Linked DNA regions of Diceros bicornis minor. The protein of the gene in region 1 interacts with the protein of each later gene in a pairwise test. Links are inferred from orthologs where the notes say so. Each region holds a gene or a part of one and is shown on either strand. Other genes may lie near its edges. The genes, in order: SERGEF and DPH3.

Region 1 (9,197 bases):
AATAGTTATTCAAATATGAGAACATAATTGAACCAAAAGTTTGGTTCATAATTCTTAATCAGTGAGTTATTACTCGAAGACATAGATGATGTTTTCCTGACTTTCTGAAGAAAGCTCCAAAAGTTGGTTGTCAGAATGCCTACATTTCTTAATCTGCCTATTTTGTCATTTGGAGTTATACAGTATAATGACACACCAAAATGTACAGAATTATAGTTAATTTTTAAGTTGGCTTCCAAACTGAAAAAAGAAAAAATTCTGGAATACTCTAAAGGAACATAAAATAGAGTTCATATATTAATTTCTAGGAAATGTATAAAGATACTGTGGTCTATTTCAGTCTAGTCTTTATTTTTACTATGTACTATGATTTGCAAGTTTGTTATTCAACTGGATAATAAATTAACACAAAATTCGTGTTCTCAGCAAGCATTTATTTTTTGTCAAACATATGTTAAAACTGATTTAAATATATGTTAGCAATTTTTGTAGTTTAAGAAATCTATAACATCAATTCTTAAAAAGCCTATGAATATGAGATATAAGGGAAGCCAAATCTGGAAACTAGAGTAACTACTTTTCAGAATTCTGGATAAAGTCTCAACTCATGTTCCTCATCTGGAAAATGAGCTAAATCTACTTCCCTGGGTTATTGGAGGAATTCTGTTATGAGAGGACTTTGTAAAAGAAACTTATTATCATATGTAAAGAATCTTTAATGTAATCACTCTCCTAATCAGAGACCCCCATAGCTTCTGGATGATTTTATCTTCCTCCAGAGGGAATTCACGTTTGCTTCTAGCAGGTAGTATATAATGGCATGGGAAGATCTCCTTAGTCCAATCAGGGATTAAGCCAATTTGAGCTGAGCTTCAGTCTTTGTGAGGGCTGGTCTGTTTCCAGGTCACCTCTACTTTTAGGGTGCAGCCCTTTGGGGATCCTAAAGGAAAGCTATGGGTGTGGACAAGGGCTTCTCCATGGGGACCCTGGGCTCCGACATTTGTCCCCTCCTTCACTCTCATCCCCCTGCCCCCATAAAATTGCTAAAAGTAATTCAATTTCTCAGCTTCTCAGTTGCAGCTTTCAGCCCAGTTTCTTAGTCTCCAAGTCACTGCTTGCTAACTAGCAAGTGCTTCAAGCAGAAGAGTAATGCCAAATATAATTGCTCAGCCTCCAGATCTTGGCCCTTCAAGTTCTGGCTGCTTTGATAGCCCTCCAGTGACTTGAAACAGATTTTAAAAATGTTTCCCCAATTTTGCTAGTTGTTTTGGTGAGAGAATTAGTCTGCAGCTAGCTAATCTGCCTTTATCCAAAGCAGAAATCTGACCTTAGGGTAAATCATTTAACTTCTTTGAGCCTCAGTTTTCTCATCTATGAAATAATGGTCCTAACAATACTTAATCATACCAGTAATAGTGAGAAGATCAAATAAGATAAACTAATGGGAAAAAATTTCCTAACCTGTATGGTACAGAGATCTAGTCTGTATGGCCCCAAATACTTTACATTTTCTTCTTATGGGGAGACAAGGCATCTGAAAGTGACACCACCAAAGAGTTTAAATCTAGCCATTCAAGAACTGTAGCTCAGGGGCCGGTCCCATGGCTTAGCGGTTAAGTGTGTGCGCTTCGCTACTGGCAGCCTGGGTTCAGATCCTGGGCGCACACCGAGGCACCGCTTCTCCGGCCATGCTGAGGCCGCGTCCCACATACAGCAACTAGGAGGATGTGCAGCTATGACATACAACTATCTACTGGGGCTTTGGGGGAAAAAAAAAAAAAGGAGGAGGATTGGCAATAGATGTTAGCTCAGAGCCGGTCTTCCTCAGCAAAAAGAGGAGGATTAGCACGGATGTTAGCTCAGGGCTGATCTTCCTCACAAAAAAAAAAAAAAAAAAGAACTGTAGCTCAAGGAAGAGCTAGTCAGTGGCGTCTACATAGTTGAAATAGTTGAAACATCTCAACACTTCCAAGAAATTGTATTAAGGATATAACTGTAAGTTAGCTGAAGTATTGATGCATGTACATTCAAGGCGTGAAATCAGGAAACAACTGTATTCTCCCAGACCCTCTCTCTGTTAAAACTGAATCTGGGTACTTCCTCCTTGCCCCTTTGGTTGATATCTCAGGTCCCTGCTGTTAAGTTTCTGCTCACTCTCAGTCTTTAGCTTCTAATCTCTCTCTCTCTCTTTCTCACACAAACACACACACACAGACACACACAGACACACATACTCTCATTTGAGTATTTTAAAAGTCCAGTCTTGTGTAAAAGTTCAAAACATCAAACTTTATGAAAGGTTAAAGTTTTTCTTCTCTGGAATTGAGAAAGGAAGGTGTGTGCTTAGTTTCTTATTTTCTTGCTCCTGCTTCTTCACTCTCTGGGATGCCTCTGGCTCCTCCAGGGTTTGGGAATGGTGATGGGGAGGACAGGTAAGGAGTAGAAAGTTCTTTTTGGTCTGATAATGTGAGTTGGCATATGTGCTTTCTGTACTTGGTAAGTATTTAAAGCTGACTCTCATTCTCTGTGGCTGTTTTGGGAGACCTTCCCACTTCTTATTTCTCGGGCTCTCTTGATGTGGGTAAATGTATCTCTTTGGGCTGTTGAATTCATCTCACTCAGCCTCTAGGAATCTAGTGGTCAACTCTCTTGTGGGTGTCACTTCACCCCTCCAGAAATTCCCTTGGACAGGGTCTGAGACCACCCCTTGGCCAATTTGCTCATGCATGGGAAACACTCACATGGGAGATACTCAGACATTCTTTGTCTTGAGAAACTCTGAGCATGAAAGATCTCTCCAAAGTGTCAATCTCTCTTTGCTCAATTATCAAAGCAGTTATCTGGCCACAAGCCATTGGACTTCTCAGCACCAACTGGACAGCAGCCTGCCCAGGCCCCAATCTGGAGGGACATATCACAGTCTCTTAGTGGCCCTCTGAAGCACACCTTTCCTTAGACATGAGGAGAGCAGGACTCACAGCACATTGACATCCATTGCCACATATCCACTCAGAATTCTCTCTCAGCCTCTCCAACATCTTTCATAGACTGGAAGTCATACACTGGTTTTTAGATACCTCCTCCACAAGTCCTGCTTTGGTGGTCTTGTATCTCACTTAATAATGTGGGAGTAATTGGCACTTACTGCCTTGGAGTCTCAGCCAAAACTGAGACGGGAAGGGTCCCATTTTTACATCCTATTACACATGCTTTAAAGGAATGGTCATATAACATAAGGAACACTCATATGAACCAATCAGCAAACATGGTATCGTTTTTGCACATCAAGGTCTCCGGAGGATGAAGAGCTGCTTTGCCTCTCTAAAGTTTGCATTTTTCTTAGCATGGTCATTGATGTTCTCAAGATGCCACAGGCAAGAGGTAAAGATGAGGTGCTGCCCTTAAGGGGTCTTACAGGTGGAAACACCAAGGAGTGGGTGGAGTGAAAAAACAGGAAAGAACTGTAAGTGCTCACTGGAAACATTTTCCAGAGCTCCCAGGCATAAAGGGTGATGAGTACTGGAGACTTGTGTCAGCAGAGGGGTCCAGTACTAGTGAATATGGATTATCATCTTTAATGTGACACCATTTGTACCCACAAGATAATGTGTGGCTTGGGAAATGTGAGTTATGTACAAAAAAGGACAAAAAAGAAAATAAAAATCACTTGTAATCCACCACCCCGAGTATGTGTGTGTGTGTGTGTATGGAAAATTGGTATAATACTTATTTTAACAACATATCATGAACACTTTCCCCTTATTTAATATCTTCCAAAACATATCTTTTAATGGCAGCCTAGTATTCCATTGCATGGCTATGCCATAATTTAATCAATTTATTTTTGGACTTTCAGGTAATAAGTTCTTTCCTATTATATGGAATCCCATAAGGATAACTTGCAGTCTAAGTCTTTGTGCACAGCTCTGATTATTTTCTTGTGAAAAATTAACAAAAGTGGAATTACGAGTTAAATATCTATTTATCTTCATCTTCCTAACATGCACTGCCACGTTGTCCTTCACGAAAATTGTACTTAGCTCCCACCAGCAGCCTATGAGGGTGTCTGATAAAAACCATTTTATACGAAAATCTTTGTTGGATGAAAATTATCCAGTATTAATGATCAGTCAGGGCAGGGGCGTGCTCAGAGCGCTGAGGGTTAGAAGGCCGCCCCAAGATGAATCCACGAGAACCAGCCTCCTCAGGTCAGTGCTCCTGGGTGCAAATTCCCGCTCCGTGCCAGGCGCTGAAGGCGACACCGCCACAGTGTAGTACGACACTACACGCGCCTACCCACAAGCTCCCTCGGAGTTTGCAAACCCACAGCAAAGCAGGCCCAAAGACAGTTCGGCCTAAGACAGCGGGGCAGGACTCTTTCCACTCCCTCTCGGGCTCAATTTCTTCCCCGTCAAATACAATCCCTGTCCTGTCAGCCTCTCTGGGCTGTCCTGGGACTCCAAGGAGACAAAAACGTGAGGGAGCGTAGTGCCTTCGCACAGAATCATTACTAAAAATAAAGAGTGCGAGGGGTGGGAGAGAGAGGCAGACCCGCCCTTTGAGACAGGAGGCCCCAGACGGAGACTCTCAGAGCCGCCCGAGCTGCGCGACTGGAGGCGGCTCCAGAGGCGGCCGGGGAGGCGGCTGCGGCGCTCCCGCCCGCCGTAGACCCCTCCCCCGGCGGGCCCCTCCCCCGGCGGGCCCCTCCCCCGGCGGGCCCCTCCCCCGTGCCAGTCCTATACCCCCAGTCACCAATCCCTCCCCTGACGGGCCCCGCCCCCGTACCGCCCCTCCCAACCACAGACTCCTTCCCGCGCCGACCCCACCGCCCAGTCTCCAATTCCTCCCCCGGCGGGCCCCTCCCCCGAGGGCCCCCTCCCCCGGCGGCCCCTCCCCTGGCGGCCTCCCTCCCCCCGGGGCCCCCTCGCCCACCACAGACCCCCCTCTCCCGACGGGCCCTTCCCTCCTCCCCACAGATCCCTCCCCCGCGGCGGGCCCCTCCCAACCACAGACTCCTTCCCGCGGCGGCCCCACCACCCAGTGTCCAATCCCTCCCCCGGCCGCCCCTTCCCCGCCCCAGCCCCTCCCGGAAGCGCCGGCGGAGCGTCCCCGCATGGCGCGCGAGCAGAGCGCCTCGGAGGCCGGCCCTGCGGCGGCCGCGCTCTTCGCCTGGGTACGTGACTCCGCCCCCGGCCGCGGCCGCTGGGACTGGGGGCGCGCGGGCGCTGGGAGCTCCCGGCCTCGGCGGGGGCGGGCTGTGGCTCCGCGGCCAAGGCCGGAGTCTGCCTTTGGGTTGGAGGATCCTGGGCTGGACGCTGAGGAGGAGAGGGCGGGGAGGGAAGGGTCTTCGCGGGGTGACTTAGGGGCCTGTTGGCTGGAGGGGTCCTGACCGGAGGGGCTGCGGCGCCGTGGGAAGAACCTGCCTCCGGGCCGAGCGTCCGGTTCCGCGGGAGCCCTCAGGCCCGGATGGCGCCGGGAAGACAGCGTGGAGGCTCCGTAGGGAGAGGACTGCCCCGCCCCGGAGCCCTGTGGGGCCACCTGTGCTCCCCACACTCCCGTTGCTCGGAGGATGCGGGCCCTTGCCCAGCCCCACCCCTGCCTGCGGCGTTTGGCCGTGCACGAGGCGGGGACACTGCATATTTGCTGATATTCCGCTGTGACTGCATCTTGCCTGTACTGGGGGCGTGGGGGTCTTGCTCTGGTTTTGGTTTGACGGGAGCACCGAGAGACAGGGTCATCTTTATGTGTCGTGGGTGGGTCTTTGCCCAGGAGTGTGTGGCAGGCATCCGACCAGATGCTCAAGAACAAGCAGACGGAGTGTCTTGTAGTTCTTAATAGCACGGATCACAACTGTAATGAAATATGTAATTTGTGAAAGTCAGTCTCCTTGGCTGGAACGTAAGCGTCATAAGGGTGGGTACTGTGTCTATTTTGTTCGGGGTGTCTGGCACATTGTAGGGTGCTCAGTAAATACTTGTTGACGAATGAATGAATACCTGTGTGTGCCGAGCTATGTACTGGTCCTCTGGGAAAAACACACGAGTCAAAGACTTCCAGCTCTTGTGTTGGGAGGGGGGGATGACATCTATATTGCAGTTAAAACCAGTATGTATTGGTTAATTTTAAAAAGGTGATATCAGTACCAGACAGAACTTGTTGAATGTCAGGCTGCAGACTGGCGGAAGGGAGAGCGTGGTGTGGCCTGAGGTAGCCTGGCTGTCTGAGCATCCTTGGGGTGGCGCTTCAGCTGGGGGTGGAGTTGGGGATTGAATGTGTGCCTGGGGTGGGTGCTGGCTCTGGCTTTTTCCCCAGGGGACTGGGGTCTGTGTGTCAGATATGGCCTTGCCCCTGTGAAACAAAGGTGTGGTTGAACCTAACCCCAGTGCTGAGTTTGGAGGCCTGCTGGTGTGTTCTTCCTGCTGCATAATCTGCTTTTGCTAGGGCTGCCATAACAAAATACCACAGACTGAGAGGCATAAACAATGGAAATTTATTTTCTCACAGTTCTGGAGGCCAGAAGTCCAAGATCTAGGTGTTAGCAGGTTTAATTTCTTCTGAGGCATCTTTCTTTGGCTCACAGATAGCTGCCTTCTCTCTGTGTCCTCATGTGGCTTCTTCTCTGTGCGAGAGCATCTGGTGTCTCTTCTTAAAATGGTACCAGTCATACGGGATTAGGGACCCACCTGTATGGTCTCAGTTAACCATAATTACCTTTTTAAAGGCCCCATGTCCAAATATAGTCACATTCTGAGGTCCTGGAGGTTAGAGCTTCAACAAATTAATTTTAGGGGAACACGATTCAGTCCATAACAAGGGGATTTACCTCCTTGAAGGTGTGTGTGTGGGGGTGTCTGGAATGTTTGTAAGGAAGAGAGGCAAATAGAACTGTAATATGTTGTATTAAATTTTCCTTCATTTTGCTTTATCCTGGATTTAGGGCCTCTTGCTGCATTACAAAAATTGAGTGCCGTAATTTGAATCCCAGAGTGCCTGTGTCTCCCTCCCTTACTTTCTGTTCGGCAGCCTGCAATCCTGGTAATGGGGCAGCCACAGAGGTCTCAGGGCTGGTGGAGAAATCCTGTGCACATACACTCCACTTCACACTGCAAGACTTGCATTGATCTTTCCTAGGTAGGGACTCGCAGGGCCTTAGAGTCATTCGCTATAAAATATATGCACACCTTCTCTGGGCCAGCAGAGTTTCAGATGCAGGGGGCATAGCAGTGAGCAAAACGAAGTTCCTCCCCTCATGGAGTGTAGGGGGTGGACAGTAAACAAGTAAACAAATATATAGTGTAATGTCAGGGAGTGCCATGAAGAAAAATAGGGCAGAAAAAGGGGATAAAGTGATGGGGGTATTATTTTAGGTAGGGTTGTACAGTTAGCCTCCTGCCAGGTAAGCCTCGGCTGTTTCACTATATATCCTGTTTTTTCTTTTTTCTTAGAGTATGGTACAATGAAAGGAACAGGGCATCCAGCTTGTTGCCTGCCTAGCTGTGTGACTGTAGAAAGTTACTTCATCTCTCTGAGCCTTGGTTTCTTCACCCGTAAAGTGAGAGTGATAATGCCCATCTCCCTGGTTGTTGTGAGGATTAAAGGTGAATGCCCAGCCCATGGAGAAGCACTCAGTAATTGGTAGCTAATATGGCTTCTGAGGGCCTCTGGGGCCTGTGCCCCTGCCCTGGTTTGCTCTTCTCTGGGAGTCCTTGCAGCCCAGAAAGGCTGTGGAATAGACCACAAGGGCTAGGAGTTTGCATGTGTGTATTTTTTGTAGTTGTTTTAAATCACTTTTTCTCATTCAGGTGTCTTCAAAAATGAACACATTTTAAAGGTTTTACTACTCACCTCTAGGAAGAACCAGCCAGGAGTAGATACTTAGAGAAATTGTAAGGATTCCTGAAATCTTAATAAGATTCTCCCTGCAGGTCTACAACTCTTTGTCTCCAATTTTGAAAACAAAAAGCTCTGAAAACCCCACACTGACCTGACATAAGGGTCTTTATAGTCTTTGCCCACTTACTGTAAGTATTTGTAGCTTTTACTGCAGAATAATACTGTTTTGCTTATGAGTGCTACTCCTGGACCTTGCAGTAGTGTGTATGATTTATGTATGGTATTGCTGTTCTTGAGTCTATAAAATTCTGAATCTGAAATACATCTGGCTGCGAGGGTTTTGGATTAGGGATTCTGGACCTTTATTATATAATAACAATGATAGACATATTGCCCACCAAGGGGAAATCTGTTCCCTTATAGGAATCTCATCATGTGAATCTTAGAGTCACAAAACATTGTACTTGGAAAGGCGCTTAGAGATCCTTGCCAACCTCTTTGTACAAATGGAATAACAATGATGTGCCTTGCTTGATGGCACTAAATCCTTAGCTACCTTTGGTTAGAGAAAGTCATTGCAGTTTTTCCAGTCAGCATGTGGGAAGAAGGGACAAGATCTGGTCCCAGGGCATTTCCCACTCACTTTGTTCATATTTGCCCTCCTTATTTCTTTCCTTAGTCTCCCTAGATAATTAGCTTTTATCAGAAGGAACTCCCATGCTGTCCCTCAAAGGGAATGCATGGGGGCTGGGCATTGGAAGGGAAGGCGAGGAGTATCATTGGATTAGTTGTGGATGCTAAGGGCTCCTCTCACATGGAAATGGTGGTGGTGTGGGGATGGGACCCACCTGCTAAGTGTGGGTTGCTTATGACAACCTCTTGAGAATAAGCCTGTGAAATCTCCTCTGTTATAGGCTCTGAGAGGTGTGAAGGTGAGCAAGATAGGGACAGGTAAGTACACATTGACAGTTGGGGTTCCCATACTTTTTTACCCTTGGCTTATTTTACCCCTAGGGTGCGAACAGCTATGGGCAACTTGGCCTTGGCCATAAGGAAGATGTGCTTCTGCCCCAGCAGCTGAATGACTTCTGTAAACCGAGGTGTGTCAGGAGGATCACAGGAGGAGGGGGCCACTCTGCTGTAGTCACAGGTAACTTCCTTCTCGAGTAGAGAGCCCTGAATTTTCTTATTTAGATATTTTCCCCTAGGGAGTTATATTGTCATCTTTTAGCCTTTTGTATTTTGTAGAGGAAAACATTTTTGTGGAGGAGCCAAGTTACCATCAGAGAATCCTAGATTGTCAGAGCTGAAAGGACTTCATATAAATGAGATTCAGAGAGGATAACTGACTGCTTAAGGTTACA
Region 2 (9,865 bases), on another chromosome or scaffold:
TAGAAAACCCTAAAGAATCTGTTGGAAAACTATTAGAAACAATCAACAACTACAGCAAAGTTGCAGGGTACAAAATCAATCTACAAAAATCAGTTGCATTTCTATATGCTAATAATGAACTAACAGAAAGAAAGCTCAAAAAGATAATACCATTTACAATTGCATCAAAAAGAATAAAATACCTAGGAATAAATCTTACCAAGGAGGTGAAGGACCTATACAATGAGAACTACAAGACATTATTGAGGGAAATCCATGATGACATAAAGAAATGGAAAGATATCCCATGCACGTGGATTGGAAGAATAAACATAGTTAAAATGTCTATATTACCTAAAGCAATCTACAGATTCAATGCAATCCCAATCAGAATCCCAATGACATTCTTCACAGAAATAGAAAAAAGAATACTAAAATTTATATGGGGCAACAAAAGACCCCAAATAGCTGAAGAAATCCTAAAGAAAAAGAACAAAGCAGGAGGCATCACAATTCCTGACTTCAAAACATACTACAAAGCAATAGTAATCAAAACAGCATGGTACTGGTACAAAAACAGACACACAGATCAATGGAACAGAATTGAAAGCCCAGAAATAAAACCACACATATACGGACAGCTAATTTTCGACAAAGGTGCTAAGAACATGCAATGGAGAAAGGAAAGTCTCTTCAATAAATGGTGTTGGGAAAACTGGACAGCCACATGCAAAAGAATGAAAGTGGACCATGTGCTATCGCCATTCACAAAAATTAACTCAAAATGGATCAAAGACCTGAAGGTGAGACCTGAAACTATAAAACTCATAGAAGAAAATATAGGCAACACACTATTTGACATTGGTTTTAAAGGAATCTTTTCGGATGACATGCCTACCCAGACTAGGGAAACTAAAGAAAAAATAAACAAGTGGGACTTTATCAGATTAAAGAGCTTTTATAAGACAAATGAAACCAGAATCAAGATGAACAGACAACCAACCAGCTGGGAGAGAATATTTGCAAAACATACATCTGACAAGGGGTTGATCTCCATAATATATAAAGAACTCACACAATTGAACAACAAAAAAACAAACAACCCGATCAAAAAATGGGCAGAGGAAATGAACAGACACTTCTCCAAGGAAGATATACAGATGGCCAATAGGCACATGAAAAGATGCTCAACATCACTAATCATCAGGGAAATGCAAATCAAAACAACACTAAGATACCACCTCACGCCTGTTAGAATGGCTATAATCACCAAGACAAAAAACAACAAATGTTGGAGAGGATGTGGAGAAACAGGAACCCTCATACACAGCTGGTGGGAATGCAAATTGGTGCAGCCTCTATGGAAAACGGTATGGAGATTCCTCAAAGAATTAAAAATAGAGATGCCCTATGATCCAGCCATCCCACTACTGGGAATCTATCCAACGCACCTGAAATCAACAATCCAAAGAGGCTTATGCACTCCTATGTTCATTGCAGCATTATTCACCATAGCCAAGAAGTGGAAGCAACCTAAGTGTCCCTCGACTGACGACTGGATTAAGAAAATGTGGTATATATATACAATGGAATACTACTCAGCCATAAAAAAAGACAAAATCGTCCCATTTGCAACAACATGGATGGGCCTGGAGCGTATTATGTTAAGTGAAATAAGCCTGAAAGAGAAAGACAAACACTGTATGATCTCACTCATATGTGGAATATAAACCAACACATGGACAGAGAAAACTGGACTGTGGTTACCAGGGCAGTGGGGGTGGGGGGTGGGCACAAGGGGTGAAGGGAGTCATATATGTGGTGATGGACAAACAAAAATGTACAACCCAAAATTTCACAATGTTAGAAACCATTAAAACATCAATAAAAAAAAAAAGACTACTGCAAGCAACAGATTAAAGATTTAAAATGAGCTATACTGGTTTCTGTTCAGTAAGTAATCAATTTATTTAACAATTACTGGGGTGCCAGGCACTATTTTAGGCGGTGAAGACACAATAAAGAACTAAACACAAGGCCCTTGCCATCATGAAGCTTTTATTACAGCGAATGTGACAGATAATAGTAAACATAATTAACAAGACAATTACAGATTACAATGAGTGTGATACAGGAAATAGAGTGATTGGGTGGGTGGGGGAGTATCAGGAAAGGTCTCTCTCAAAAAACACCTAAGCAGAGACTTGAATGATGAGGAAGAGGCAGCCAAGCAGCCGTAAGGGGCAGAGCATTCGGGCAGAGGCCCAATCACAGAAACAAGCCTGGCGTGTCAGATGAATCTCGCTTGGCCAGTGCCACTGGAGAGCAGTGAGCTAGGTGAGAGTGACATGAGATGAAGTAAAGCAGGTAGACACGTGCCAGATCACATCAGGCCATGCTGTGTATGTACTTTACTCTAAAGGGCATGTACTTTACTCTAAGGGTAATGGGAAGCAACTGAAGGGTTTGAATAAACCAGGAGAGGGACATGATCTAATTTACATTAAACAATCACTCAGGCTGCCATGCCATGGATCCTAGAGGGTCAAGAGTCGAAGCAGGAAGTCCAGTGAGAAGGCTGCAGTCTAAGATCAGAGTAGGATAAAGCTACAGAGATGACAGAAGCAGATGAACACAGAATATATTTCGGAATTAGAACCTACGACTTGTTGATAGACTGGATGAGGTGAGAGAATGAGAAAAATCAAGAATGCCTCAAAGAGCAGTAATGCACTGAAACTAAGTAAATTCACAGAACTATCACAGCACCTGTTGATTTAAAATCCTAGGTGCCACAGGGGAAGCAGAGGGATTCCTGGCATTTGGCATTTGGTCAGGAACCCTAGTGGTATACAAGTTATTATAGTGCTTGACCTGGAAGCAGTGGAACTGGGCTCAGATCTGACTCCTCCCTGGTTTTTGATCTTGGGCCAGTCACCTCTTACCATTTTTAAATGGGAATGCCAGCCCCACCTCACTGGATTGCTGAGAAGAATAAATGTCCATGGAAGAACCTGGCAAGCAAGAATCTTACTAAAAATCATCCCAAATACATTAACCACCTCTCTCCTCCCTGCCAAACAAGAAGTGGTGGTTTGATATTGCCAATAAACGACTCCCCTTGGCCTGATATACAACAGCACTCATTAAATACAGTTTCTATTACACAATTATGACCTGGTTCTAAATTTGATCTTATGCTAAGAATTTTGGTCACTGGTATTTTCCAGATCAGCACTGTTAACATTTTATGATAAAAGACATTATGAAAAAAAGCAAACCATAAATATGTGATTTCAAATGACACTATAGCAACTAGTAAATATGCTTTTGTCATGCTCTGAGGGTCCAAAAATGTCTCATTACAAAATGTTTCCATTCCCCAGGAATAACGTAAAGTTTAGTAGTCATTGTAAAGTTTTATTTAAAAGTGATGAGTGAAGTAAAAAACCCGCATCACGGGTGTAGCTATGGTTTTACTTTCTTCCGCACAGTACGATCTCAAACTGGCTAGAACCACGCAGGGAACTACCTCTGGCCAGACAAGGGGGATGGCTGACAGAAAGCAGGATGAAAGCAGTATGGAAGGCCAAGGAGACCCCCAAATCTAGACATCAAAGGAACCAGCACTGCTCTAGCAGAAAATCTCCGCAGTCTGCTGAGCTCCAGGGCTGTTTTAGTCTAGCTCTGCTTCAAACATCATCACATCACAAATGGCATCGTAGTTAATTAAGAGCCCAGGTTCTGGGGTCAGACAGATGTGAGCTCTCACCATCGCTTACTGCCACTTTCAAGCTTTGCCTCCTTTGGCAAATTCTTTAGCCCCTAAACCTCAGGTTTCCCAGTACTGAAGATGGGATTAATGATACCCATACTCACTAGGCTGTTTTAATGACATAATGCATGTTTCAATGACATAATGCATTTGGTACAATGCCTGGCACATAATGTCAATTATTATTAATAAGAGGCTCATTAGTTTTTCTTTTTCCATTTTAAGTAATACATACTCAAAGAGAAGTTGGAAAATCACAAAAAAATTATGAACAAAAACTACTCAACAACCCCTGTAACTTTTAGGACTGTTAACCTCAGATTTCAAGATTCCCCAGCAAATTGTTTTTGATGGATCCAAACTGCTTTCTAAAAGGTCTACCAATTTATACTTCCATGAGCCAAATATGACTGCACCCATTTCTGAACATTTGAAAATGGCTCATCTTTAATTTGCAGATACTTATGCTCAGAAGCACTGATGAACTAAATATGGTTCCCAACCTCAAATCAATCACTGGGACTACAGAATAGACACTGGGGACTCTCTCCTGTCCTCCCGCCTCCAAGAGGCTACCTGGGAAGTCTCTGTGTCTACAGAGATACAGGGAGCAGCCACTGAGCTGTGTGGGCTTTGCTGGAATGTCTCCTTTGCTCAGACAGATCAGAAGCATCCCAGTTAACCCTCAACGAGTTTAACAAACGTTTCCTAACTGCTTGGTAGATTTTCAATTGTGCTAAATGGAGCGTTTGTGAAGCTTCTGAAAAAATCTTCTACAAACTCCTTCAATGTAACTTCTGAATTTTCTTCCCAAGACTCCTCTGCCTTTAGGTTTTCAAGCCTTAAAAGAGCTAAAGTAGGTGGAGCTTCATTTTGGTGTGCACAAAATTGGTAACTTCATGCAAACATTTGAGTATGTCTACATAAATAAGCATAGGGATGTGTATATAAGTGTGTGTAATATATACGTATTATGTAAATATAAAATACAGTATACGTGATTGTGAAACCAAAACTCATATCGATGCAAAAGTAGAATGTTAGATCTGAAGAGATCTTGTAAATCATCTCTAATCCAACCCTTTTTTAGTCAGAAAAGGAAATAAGGCCCAAAGAATGTAAACATCCAGCTCCCAGAGCCAGTTGGCAACAGTCAGATTCTGAGCCCGGATCTTCTGCTTCTCAGTACTGTAGCGTTTTCATTGCACTGCATGCCTTCTCCACCAGGAGGTGAATAAATGCCTAGTCATGGAGCAATACCCCACGGAATCCAGCTGTACCAAAACAGGCACTAGCACCAATTTCAATACAAACCACCTTTAATTTGCATTTCACTTCGAGGTATACACAGGCCTCACGTAATAACCCTGCTCGCTGACCCTCTTCCTTTTGCAAAAAGGAAACTGTTCACATACATTAACTAATTTGTTCCTGGGCTTTGGGGACAGACAGGCCCTTCTTTTCCTAGGTGTGTGATCTTGGTCAAGATACCCAACTCTCTGTGTCTCAGTTTGAAGATTAAGAATAGAGAACTCCCAGGGCTGATGGGAGAATTACACTTACCGCAATACCTGGTACCCTGCAAACTCCCAATAATAAAAGCTATTACTACTAATCACTATAGTTAATAACGTTATACGCCTGGCAAACACACGACTAGAACGCAATCTCTGCCTTCCAGGTGTAGGTCCTTTGAGCAACACAATTTAGGGCATTTGAAGATACTGCGGGGTGAGGAAGAGGCGAGGATGTACCTGAATAGCCGAGTGCGGCCAGGAACTACAAGCTAGGCGTTGCCCTGAGCTCAAGGTCACTCGGTGAATAAAAATTCCAAGGGAGCTTCCATCCGTCACCGGGGAGGCAGGCAGGGCGGTCCAGGAGGCTGAGCTGCTCCCGCCGCTGCCTCAGACTCAGCAAAGCAGCCCCCCCCGCTTTCCCCAGGGGCGCCGAGGCCGCGTCGATGCTACCTAGGCCTGCTGCGGCCTTCCGCTGGGTCGGCTTAAGGCCTCTCTAAGCTCCGCGGGCGTAAGACAAGGCAACGACAGCCACAGTAAGAAACCTCCACGCCGCCGCCACGGGGATCTAGCTCACAGACTCGAGCCAAACTCCACTACCTCCGCCTGAGAGATTCCGGCGTCCCCGACATGACGTAGCAGCAGCGCGAGCCATCCCCACATTTTATTGGTCGCTGCCGTCCGATGGGCGGAGCCGTGAGCGACAGCACTAATCAGCGAGCGCCGTCTTCCAGTGTCTCCGCCCCCTAGCTCAGGCATCTCCATGGTGACCGCTACCGGTCACCCATTTGGCCTACAAGGCCGGAGTTGCGTCATTTTCTATGCGCCGGAAGTGACCGTTCCTGAGCCGGTGCGTGGTGACAACGACCGCCTGGGGTTGGCGCCCGCGAAGTTAGACCGAGCCGGGACCGTGTCGGACGGCGAGGTGACAGACCTCTGCGGGCCCCAGTGATAATGGCGGTGTTTCACGACGAGGTCGAGATCGAGGACTTCCAATATGACGAGGACTCGGAGACGTATTTCTACCCCTGCCCTTGTGGGGATAACTTCTGCATCACCAAGGTAATCTCGGGGTCCCGCCCTGCGACTCCTTGGAGCAGGCGCGTTTTCGCTGCGGTCTTCCTTCCGCCATTCCGTCCCGCATGAGACTTATAGTTATCCATTCCCTTTTAATCCTGTTTCTGAATCCCCCAAAATTGACGCTCTGAGCTGTCAGGGGGCACATCGTTCTGGGCTTTAGTCAGGCCAGGGGGGTGGAGTCAGGCTGGAGGGGTGGGGGTGGATGGCGAGGAGCATCAGTTTTCTCGCCATTCTCCCCTACTTAGGGTCCCACTTCCTGGGATACTTCTTTGGAGGAAGGGACGCGTTTTTGTTTGCCCTGGGGTTTTGAGGGCACTGAACTTTGACTCACCTTCCTGGGTATTTCCCCCACGTGATGTTTCCGGGGAAAAATGGGGTTGGCATTTTTCTCAGAAGGCCCTTTTGGCGCTCACGTACCTTATGGAGAGGCAAGCCACAAAGGAGCTTGCCCATAGTGGTGGGAGGGTTTGGGAGGAGGAGATTGCAGTGGGAACACTATGCTGATCATATGGTGTTTGATTTCGTTATAGGAAGATTTGGAGAATGGAGAAGACGTGGCAACGTGTCCTAGCTGCTCTCTCATTATAAAAGTGATTTATGACAAAGTAAGAGGTCCAATTTTAAAAAGGTGGGGGGAGAGTTTTGAGGCAAGGACCTAGAGAAGTCTGTCTGTGATATAAGTGTGGAAGAATGTTTCCTAACAGTGTTAGGAAAATGCTGTGTTTTAAAACATTTTAAAAACTATTAATAAACAGCTATATTGTAAATTAAAATTTTAAAAGTTCAAATTAACTCATTTTAGCTTTGGAGAGGTCAGTAAAGAAAACTGCTCTGTTTAATGAAAATTATTGATTACTTATTAAATAGTAGAAAAATAATCTTAAAAGTTATTTAATTGACAGTCTTTATTCCTCTTTTATTTAATAAGTAATTAAAATTATTCAGAGTTCCTAAATTTATTTTGAAGGGAACTGTGTAGTATTTCTTATATTTATATAAGGTGTAATATATATATATTTCTATATATAGAATGGAATTGTATGGTATTTCTTACCTGGCTTCTGCATAGAACTTTGCATTATCTTGTTTGAGATATAAGTCGTAGTTGCAATTTTACAATTTTGTTTTAGTCTTTAGTTGTCCTATTGTTTTTCACCCAAGGATACTGAGAATAGAAAACAATAAATGTTATTAATGCCCCCCCCACACACTTTTAGTCAGTACTTTGAATAGAGTCTTCAGTTAGAAGCTAAACATTCTTTTTTTTTTGAGATATAGTTGACACGTAACAGAGCTTAACATTCTTAAGGATGAACTCTAAAATGAGTATAGGGAAGGTGGGAACGAGGCACTTAGCCTCATGAGAGAAGCCTGCTATAATTTAGAAGTTTACTTCTAAAATAAAGAAGATTTATTCTTGGATTAAAATGTGTTCTGGAACAGGAAAAGAACAGGGTAAGGGAGATGAGGAGTGCTGGTATGAGAAGAGATTGCAGTTTTAAATAGGGTGATCATGGCAGGCCCAATTGAGAAAGGCCTTTTTGAGCAAAGATTGAAAGAGGTGAGGAAGTGAACCCTGTACATATGCGGGGTAAGAGCAGTGTGGCAAAGGGAACTTGCAGTGAAGAGACCCTGAGGCAGGAACGTGCCTGCTTTTATCAAGGAACAACAGGGAGGCCATTGTGACCAGAGCAGAAGGAATGAAGGTGAGAGTTGTCCAAGGTGAAATTAGTGGAGTGGGGCAGATCACAAGGGTGTCTGTGGGCCACTGTAAGGACTCTGGCTTTTGCTGTGAATGATATAGGGAACCACTGGAAGATTTCTGAACAAAGGAGTGCCATGATCCAACTTAAGTTTTAAAAGAGTGATTCTGGCTGCTGTGTTCAGAGTAGGCTGAGGGAGCAAGGATAGAAGCAGGAAAACCAGTTAGGAGGCTATTAGACTAATCAAAGAGGGAGATGGGTGGTTTGGACCAGGCTGCAGCAATAGTGAGAAGTGGTTGGATTCTGGATACACTTGAAAGGATAAGGATTTTCTTACTGATTGGATGTAGAATATGAGAGGAGTCAAGGATGATTTCAACATTTGTGGCCTTGGTAACTGGATGGATGGATTTACCATCAACTGATGGGGAGGTGACTGCAGGTATAGGGGCCAGAGCTGGACATACTAAGTTTGAGAGGCCTGTTTTTCATCCAAGTGGAGTGAGTGAGGAGGCAATTGGATATGGAAGTCTGGAGTTCAAAGAGAGATAAGCTAGCGCTGTAAATTTGGGAGTTATCAGCATATAGATAGCATTTAGAGCTGTAAGATTGGATGAGATCACTGGGGCTGTGAATGAAGGTAGAGATGGACAAAAGAAAGGACTGAGTTGGGACCCTCCAACATTTAAAGGTCAGGGAGGGAAGCAAAGAATCAGCAGAGCTGGCTGAAAGGGAGCAACCTCTGAGGAAGAAGGAAAACCACCAGTGTCATATCCTAGAAGCCAGATGAGAAAAGATGGAGGAAGTGATCAACCTTGTCGGATGCCACTAATGGAAAGGCAACTGAAAGTTAACCGTTAGCTTCAACAGGGAGAGGCCATTTGTGATGGTGATAAGAGCGGTTTCAGGGGCCGGCCCCGTGGCTTAGCGGTTAAGTGCGCGCGCTCCACTGCTGGCGGCTGGGGTTTGGATCCGGCCACGCACCGACGCACCACTTCTCCGGCCATGCTGAGGCCGTGTCCCACATACAGCAACTAGAAGGATGTGCAACTATGACATACAACTATCTACTGGGGTTTTGAGGGGGGGGGGAAGGAGGAGGATTGGCAGTGGATGTTAGCTCAGAGCCAGTCTTCCTCAGCAAAAAGAGGAGGATTAGCATGGATGTTAGCTCAGAGCTGATCTTTCTCAAAAAAAAAATTAAAAAAAAAAAAAAACGAGCAGTTTCAATGGAGTAACAGAGACAGAGCCTGATTAAGGAAAACTTGTTGGAGAGAATGAGAGAAGAATAGGAGACAGCAAGTGTAGACATTTCTTTCAAGGAGTTTGCTGGAAAGGGGAGCAGAGACATGGGGCAGTAACTGGTGGTGAGAGAGGATCAAGAGGGTTTAAGGTGGTAGACATTCAGCTATATGGGTGAATGTAGAGACAGGAAGTTAGATTTAACCAGGATTGTGGTTTTGCCAAGTGAGTAGGAAGGAGTGAGAGCAGAGCGATTATGATAATTGACCATGGGGTTTAACTAGGTAAAGAAAACATTAAGGGAGTGAGAGGCAGTGAAAAGGTGGTAGAATAAATACAGTGGAGGTCCCAGAGGGGTTGAAATGAGGGCTCCAAGGGGGTAGGTGACAGCAACAGAGAGGAGTGGTGATGATATAGTCTCATGACTATATTCAAAGTTGGTGGTTTTCAGAGGGGAAAAGAGAACCATGGCAGAAAGGAGCAACCAGCCACTTCTCCAGTCTCTGTGGTACTGGGGCCCTGAGAGCACACGGAGCCACCATTTGACGGGTTATGCAGGAAACAGTGTCTTT

Evidence for each region.
Region 2: the proteins of SERGEF (region 1) and DPH3 interact in binary tests that used the Homo sapiens proteins (3 or more experiments, as listed by UniProt). The link is inferred for Diceros bicornis minor from reciprocal best matches to the Homo sapiens genes SERGEF and DPH3.

The regions. Positions count from the first base shown.
Region 1 is NC_080746.1:75,712,451-75,721,647, reverse strand, and holds the start of SERGEF (secretion-regulating guanine nucleotide exchange factor), read left to right. Parts: upstream 1-5,075; 5' UTR 5,076-5,113; coding exon 5,114-5,173; intron 5,174-8,847; coding exon 8,848-8,983; intron 8,984-9,197. UniProt on the Homo sapiens protein: Probable guanine nucleotide exchange factor (GEF), which may be involved in the secretion process.
Region 2 is NC_080741.1:22,592,438-22,602,302, reverse strand, and holds the start of DPH3 (diphthamide biosynthesis protein 3), read left to right. Parts: upstream 1-6,080; 5' UTR 6,081-6,222; coding exon 6,223-6,330; intron 6,331-6,878; coding exon 6,879-6,953; intron 6,954-9,865.